2 linked regions of the Saccharomyces cerevisiae S288C genome follow. The protein of the gene in region 2 interacts with the protein of the main gene of each other region in a biochemical or structural test. Each region holds a gene or a part of one and is shown on either strand. Other genes may lie near its edges.

What was found.
Region 1: the proteins of SAS2 (region 2) and SAS4 form a complex in vitro, tested with the Saccharomyces cerevisiae proteins (2 studies listed by BioGRID).

What each region holds. Positions count from the first base shown.
Region 1 is NC_001136.10:825,208-829,267, forward strand, and holds SAS4 (Sas4p), read right to left. Parts: upstream 2,149-4,060; coding exon 703-2,148; downstream 1-702. Other genes in the region: cohesin-loading factor complex subunit SCC2, read left to right, coding at 1-569; putative lipid phosphatase CDC1, read left to right, coding at 2,375-3,850; YDR182W-A (uncharacterized protein), read left to right, coding at 3,944-4,060.
Region 2 is NC_001145.3:521,663-525,325, reverse strand, and holds SAS2 (histone acetyltransferase), read left to right. Parts: upstream 1-1,980; coding exon 1,981-2,997; downstream 2,998-3,663. Other genes in the region: ATP-dependent RNA helicase ECM16, read right to left, coding at 1-1,630; DLT1 (Dlt1p), read left to right, coding at 3,537-3,663. UniProt on the Saccharomyces cerevisiae protein: Histone acetyltransferase (HAT) subunit of the SAS complex, a multiprotein complex that acetylates 'Lys-16' of histone H4 and 'Lys-14' of histone H3. The SAS complex is however unable to acetylate nucleosomal histones.

The sequences.
Region 1 (4,060 bases), on a different chromosome or scaffold from region 2:
ATTATTACAAGCACGATCATTTTTTGTCTTTACTTGAAAAATTATGTGGAACTGGAAAAAAAAATGGCCCAAAGTTCTTTAAAGTTCTGAAGAGAATCATGCAATCCTATTTAGATGATATCACCGATTTAACATCAACAAATAGTAGTGTTCAAAAGTCCATTTTCGTTCTCTGCACTAACATTTCGAATATCACATTTGTTTCTCAGTACGATTTGGTGTCCCTACTCAAAACCATTGATTTAACTACAGATAGATTAAAAGAGGTTATCATGGATGAAATAGGTGACAATGTTTCATCGCTATCCGTATCAGAAGAAAAGCTCAGTGGAATAATTTTAATACAGTTAAGCTTACAGGATTTGGGTACTTATCTACTGCACTTATACGGGTTAAGGGATGATGTGCTTTTATTAGATATTGTAGAAGAATCAGAATTGAAGAACAAACAACTCCCTGCAAAGAAGCCGGATATCAGTAAGTTTTCCGCACAGTTGGAGAATATTGAACAGTATTCATCAAATGGCAAGCTTCTTACATATTTTAGAAAACACGTGAAGGATACGTAAATATATTGCACTTAAAATATACATAGTATTAATAATCATTTTGCATTTTCCATGCTGATTTTTCACGCAGGTTTTGAGAAGCAACTATGAAATATTGAATTTCATTTACACCATCGCATTATATTAGTTCAAACTAAACCTTTTTTTTCTTGCGGACAGGCAAAATATTAATACCTGAGTTAGTTTTCATTCCATTGTGTGTTTTTACAAAGGTCTTTTCGTTACAAGAGGGCACTATTGCTAAGTTTGGGTTGATATTGTTAATAATAGCACCCACATTCTCAGAAGACCTTTGTGAAATCTGAGATGCAGTGCAAGATGAAATTGAACCTAAAGGTGCCTTCTCTGAAAGAGTTGGACTTATAGATGCAGCATTGTTCCTTAAGGCATTCATTTCTTTTGATTTGACAGTCTCTGTCACAGATATTTCCTCCGCTTTAACATTCAGTTTCATAGACTTTTGTGTATCTTGCCTTATATCCCGAATGACTTCTGGTTCCACCTCCATCGTTAACGGGATGACTTCCCTTCTTCTTTTCACAGCAATTTGCGTTGATATTCGAGGAGCTTTCTTGAATTTTTTTGGATTTGTGGGAACTTTGTTTTTCCATGAATTTCTCTCTTTAGTGGAGGTTTTAATCAAATACGGTTTTCGGAGCGGCTCAGCTACGATAGCAAACCGTGTCATTCCCTTTTGTGATTGATGATCGCTCAGCAGTACTATAATGGAACCACCGCATTGCTGCTCTCTCTTCTTTAGGCGTCTCTCCCTTATTTCCTCAACGGTTATTTTTTCTTCTTCTTCGTCAGAGGAGCTTGCGTAATCTGGAATAAAAGTTCGATCGATTCGAGTATATATCTTGGGCCAATCTTTGCCACTAACCAATTTCAACAATGAATCACTTGAGGCTGGCCTTCTAGCTAAATTGCGGCTTTTTTTTTTCATAGATTCAAATTTATGTAACATTGAATCAATCAGCTCTTTAGTTTGGTAACGTTTAGTCTCCATTTCATTCTCGTCAGTGGGGTCATTTATTTTAGTAACCTTCTGTAATGTTACTTCCCAATTCAACATACCCAGTCTGTCTGAAATTAATGAAAGCCTGTCTGCTTCATTTTCACCATTTACGATGTCCGATTGAATCATTCTATTTTCTTGCTTCAACATTTTCTTGTGGTAAGGCTGATACGTGCTATCAGGAAGCAAATCATCAGTTGGTTTTCTAATATTCTGGCTCAATTCATGATGTTCAATTTCTAGTGTCATCTTTGTAATTGTCTCTCTCTTTTTCTTGATCTCATCATCGACATTACTCATGAACGGCGACTTCATCACAGGTTTCTGACAACGCGTTTCGTCAACATGCTCATCTACAGTAAAGCAGGACTTAGATTTCCTTAGATGTCCAGCATTTGGGTTTATCCTGCTGACTAATCTTAACTTCCTTTTAGGGTTAATTTCGTATTCTTCTGTATCAAAATCGAATTTTTCAAATTCTCCATGACTATTTTTAATCTCAGACCTCAGCAATCTCTCAGAAGTATTATTTGCTTCTTCTATTGATTGAAAAATACCCATTGATGAACTCTCATATGCTTTTAATGCTGTAGAAATTTTCGGTTTTCCTTTTTAATCTTGCTACTTTTTGTTTTGAGATCGCTGAAATCAACTCGCGGGTTAGATTTTCTTATTTTTAAAAATGTAGAACGAACGATTATGGAAACAACAATAACCAAAAAGAAAGGGAAAACAGTACCGCTTCTACTAATCTGTTGGATACATTAGACAATAAGCTCTAGGAAGTATGGTATATCGTAACAGGTCAAAGAGCGTTTTATCTACACACAGCAAGAAGAGCGACGATAAGGCCCACTATAAATCACGTTCGAAAAAGAAATCAAAAAGCAGGAGCAAGAAGAGGTTAAGAATCTACTGGAGATACATATCTATTGTATGGATCTTATGGTTAGGATTAATATCTTATTATGAATCAGTGGTTGTGAAGAGAGCAATGAAGAAGTGCCAATGGTCGACTTGGGAGGATTGGCCTGAAGGCGCTGAAAGTCATAGGGTGGGTTTATTTGCAGACCCACAAATAATGGACGAATATTCATATCCTGGGAGGCCTCAAATAGTTAATTATTTTACAAGAGTGATTGTTGACCATTATCACAGGAGAAATTGGAAATATGTCCAGTATTACTTGGATCCTGATAGCAATTTTTTCCTAGGTGATCTATTTGATGGAGGGAGAAACTGGGATGATAAGCAATGGATTAAAGAGTACACACGATTCAACCAAATATTCCCCAAGAAGCCACTGAGAAGAACGGTCATGTCTTTACCAGGTAATCACGATATTGGTTTTGGAGACACAGTTGTTGAATCGAGTTTACAGAGATTTTCTAGTTACTTTGGAGAAACTTCCTCCTCATTAGACGCTGGAAATCATACCTTTGTACTTTTAGATACAATTTCGCTTTCTGATAAAACAAATCCGAATGTCTCGAGGGTTCCTAGACAGTTTTTGGATAATTTTGCAATGGGTTCACATCCGCTTCCTAGAATTCTTTTAACTCACGTTCCATTATGGAGGGATCCAGAACAGCAAACGTGCGGTCAGCTACGTGAATCCAAAGAACCTTTTCCTATTCAGAAAGGGCACCAGTACCAGACAGTTATAGAAAACGATATATCACAAGAAATTTTAACGAAAATTCAACCAGAAATATTATTTTCCGGGGATGATCATGACCATTGTCAGATATCACACTCATATCCGTTTCAGGGGAAAACTAAAAATGCTCAAGAAATTACAGTAAAGTCATGTGCAATGAACATGGGGATCAGTAGGCCTGCTATTCAATTGCTCTCCTTATATAATCCTTCAGATTTGACAATGGTAAATGCCGGCGGAGAGTATGCATCAAAAACTTACCAAACAGAGCTATGCTATATGCCAGATCCCTATAAGGCAATCAGAATGTACCTATGGGGATTATTATTCTCTGCTGCCTTTATCGCATACATGCATTTTTTCCCAAAATCTTTTAATAATCGCGTAGCAACCATAATGAACAGAGTATTTACACGACCTGATGGTAACACCTCAGATTTGCCATTACCTACAAGTATTTCCAAATCGAAATCCAAAAAATCATTGACACATAGTAAATACGCTGTGAATGATACGCGTTCGATCAAACAATTTCTAGTTAATGCAATTGTCCTTTTTGTTTCTGTGATGCCCATTTTTATTTATTTTTATACTGTAGTCTAGACAGAATTACTGCTATTCTCTTCCAGGATCAAAATGCTTTGAAGGGAAACGTCTGGCTATTTAATATATGCGAATACACCTTATATACAGACAATGAACAAGAGATATAAATTATACCGGGTGTGGTATTACTATGCTCACCAAACAGTTTGCATAACCTCTACTGGATTTGCATTATGTTTTGTGGTCCAAGCTAAAACTGCAGGACTG
Region 2 (3,663 bases):
TATGTAGTTTAGCTCTTAACCGAACACAACGGCTAAGCATACCGATCAAAATATCAGTGTTAATGTTTCTTTCATGTGCTTCATCTATGATAATGGAGGAATATTTAGTCAACTTGAAATCGTGCATCATTTCTCGTAGCAAGACACCATCTGTCATAAACTTGACCTTTGTGTCCTCCTTTGCGGTAGAGTCAAACCTAATTTGGTATCCTACTTTATGACCATGGTCCCCCAATTCATTAGCTACACGTTCAGCCATGGACACAGCGGCCACTCTTCTTGGTTGAGTGATACCCACCATTCCTGGGTAATCTGGAGAATCTTCGGCACCAAACCCAGCCTCATATAAAAATTGTGGGACTTGTGTAGTCTTACCTGACCCCGTTTCACCACAAATAATCACTACATCATTATGGTGAATAGCCTCCATAATTTTGTGTTCTTCACCAAATACTGGTAGTTGAATTCTTGCTTTCTGAATTTCATCTGATCTGCTAACTTCAACATAGAAGGCTTTACGGGTGGAATTCTCGTTTATTGGAACATAAGCTTCTTGGAGACCATCATCTAAATCTTCCTTTCTAATTATCGGTTTATAATCGATGTTCAAAGTGGGAGTAACTAGCTCTTGATCTCTACCTTCCAATTTTTTTATTTCTTGATTGGCCCAATCCTTGAATTCGTTAGCAACATCATTTTGGTCAAATTTTTCTGAGCCAGTTTCACTATCTGCGCTTTCAACTTCTTCGAGTGGGTTTTCACTAGGATGCATTTTGTCTTCTTCTTCCTGATCCTCCTCTTCGTCATCATCTTCAGATGTCGTGTCGAAATCCATTTCATCTTCTTTCCCATGCTTCTTCAATTCTTCCATTTCTACTCGTTGTCTCCAATTATATTTCTTCTTCGGAGTTTTGCTTTCTTTGTTTATGACTTTTATATTGCTAAACCCAAAGCTAAGACCAGATCCACCAAATTTTGCTGGTCTATGATCAATAAAACCTGATGATTTCTTCTCCTCATTGTCCGTTGGTTTCGGCATACTACCAAATGAAGCCTCGAAATCATCTTCGCCGTCATCATCCTCAGAGCTCCCTCCTTCACCATACTCATCCCAAACTTTTGGTTCATATTCTTCGTATAATATTTCATTTGTTTGTTCATTTCCTCTTCCTTGACGTTCTAAACTCAGTGCTTCTTTGAATTCTTCCTTTTTAGTCTGCCTGCCCTCTCCTAACCTTTTAGAGCTTGTCAACAAACTTGTATCTATCTTATAATCTTGAAGTTTACCAATAATTGTCTTTCTTTCCTCTCTTTTTAATTGATGTTCAATAAATTTATCCAGTCTTTTCTTCTTCAATCTCGAAACTTTCGATTCCTTTGGGGTAAATAACTCCTGTAGTTTTCTTTTCTTCATTTTCTTTTCTTCTTCAGTGAGAGGTTCAAGAATTTCCGCATTGGCATTTGGCTCCGTAGTAGAACTCTCAGCGGGAGCTGAATCTGGGTTTTCTACTCTTTCATCGTTTTCATCCTGTCTAGTGAACTGCTTATTCCTAATTCTTTTCAGTTCTTTTAATTTGGCCATATGGCCGGATCTGGCTTTTTCATTAAACCTTTTTCTGTAAGTACCCATACTTATATTTCTTAAGACACTCTATTATTAGTATTGGGTTGTAATTGCATTTTTATAGCATATAGCACTTGCTATTAACAATAATATACTAATACTATAATGAGCTTTCAATACTCAGCTCATCGCCAATGAAAATTTTCGGAACACCCAATCATCATGATATGTTAGGCGCGTAAATATGAAGAATAACAGAATCGTTAATCAGAAGAGATGATGAAATCATTAAGTCTTGTCCATATCGAACTGGATAGAGTATGTAGCGCTCTAAGAATCTGTTAAATTGAAGTTTGATTTTTTGATATTGGAGGCTCCTATTTTCTAGTTGCTTTTTGTTTTCACTCGCAAAAAAAATGGCAAGATCTTTAAGTCAATCACTCACAGCGACTACCCAGAAGCTAAAAGGAAAGAAGAATGGTGGAAAAGGCAAGAATAAGCCCTCAGCAAAAATTAAAAAAACTCAAAAAGAGATGCTATATGGAATACTGAACGAAAGGAACATAAGACAGATTCAGTTTGGACTGAATAAAAAATTCTCTACTTGGTATGGGAGCGCCGTTTATTTCGATCCTGAAACAAAAAGGCTAGGGTGCTCCGAGACCAAGGGTCAGCTTTCCTCTGTTTCTAACAGCCAATACTGGCTAGACACTCTTTTCGTTTGTGAATACTGCTTCAAATACACGGATGATCAGACGCGGTTTGTAGGACATGTTGCAAGTTGTCCATTTCAATATCGTGTTCCAGGCAAAATAAAATACAAGAGTCCTGAATATACAATAAGAAGAGTAAAAGGATCCAAGTATCAACTCTTTTGCCAATGTCTTTGTCTTTTCACTAAGCTATATCTGGACAATAAATCCATGTATTTCAAAGTAGATCATTATGAATTTTACATAGTTTATGAAACTGGATCAACAAAGCCGATGGGATTCTTTTCGAAAGATTTAGTGTCATATCAGCAAAATAATCTAGCGTGCATCTTGATATTTCCCCCATATCAACGACGTGGATTAGGCCTTTTACTTATCGAGTTTTCATACAAACTATCCCAATTAGAAGGTGTAATATCAGGGCCAGAAGTACCGTTATCACCTTTTGGACTAATCGGGTACTTGAAATATTGGTCACAGATACTCTGTTGGCACCTTATTGAAGGTGACCTCGCCCATTATGATAAAGTGACCCTGGAGGATCTTTCCATCGTGACTGGAATGAGAGTCAATGATGTTATTTTGACCTTGAAGCACTTGAACTGTATTGGGGAGAATAACCAAATTTACTTGCAGTCATTGAATAGCTGGTTGAAACTACATGGAACAAAACGGAATTGGTTCAAATTAAAAGATGAATATTTGCTGATAGATGACTAGGAATCTATTCAGGATGTAACTTAATGGCATATGTATTTCAGGATAGAATATCGCTCGATGAATTCCTGTACAGACAACTACAAACGGACGAATTTTGTCTGACCAAGTTAAGAACAGAGAACTAATGCATAAAATTTGTTTTGCTGCAAAAGTTTCCCTTTTTTTAGAGTATAAATATCTTTTATAGCAAAAGACTTAAAACAGGTTCACGTTTTTATTAGCCGTTTTTGGGCCGGTTTTTCGATGACGAACAAGGACCAAACAAATACAGCATCAAAACAAATTCTAGAATAAGAAGGCAGAAAGGGTAAGGGCATAAAGGAAACCTTCTTTTGTGGTGATGTTGAACTGGGTTTAGCCAAAATTACAACACATATTAAAGTTTTGTTATTTTGCGATAAAGTTATTGCTCTTGAGCATCAAAGAAAGTGGGAGGTTAAACAGAGGAAAACACATTGAAATTTATTCAAAAAAAGATACCGCTATACAACTTTGGCCTGATACTATCTATAGACACGAGTGTCCATACTTAGCAGTAGATGTCCGGATTCGCAAAACTCAAGTCGTGGTTATACAAAGCTTCCCTTTTCGTTTCTTTGATACTTTTGATTGGGTTTTCAGTTGTTTTACCCATAGATTCCATTGCACAAGCTTCTAAATCAGAAA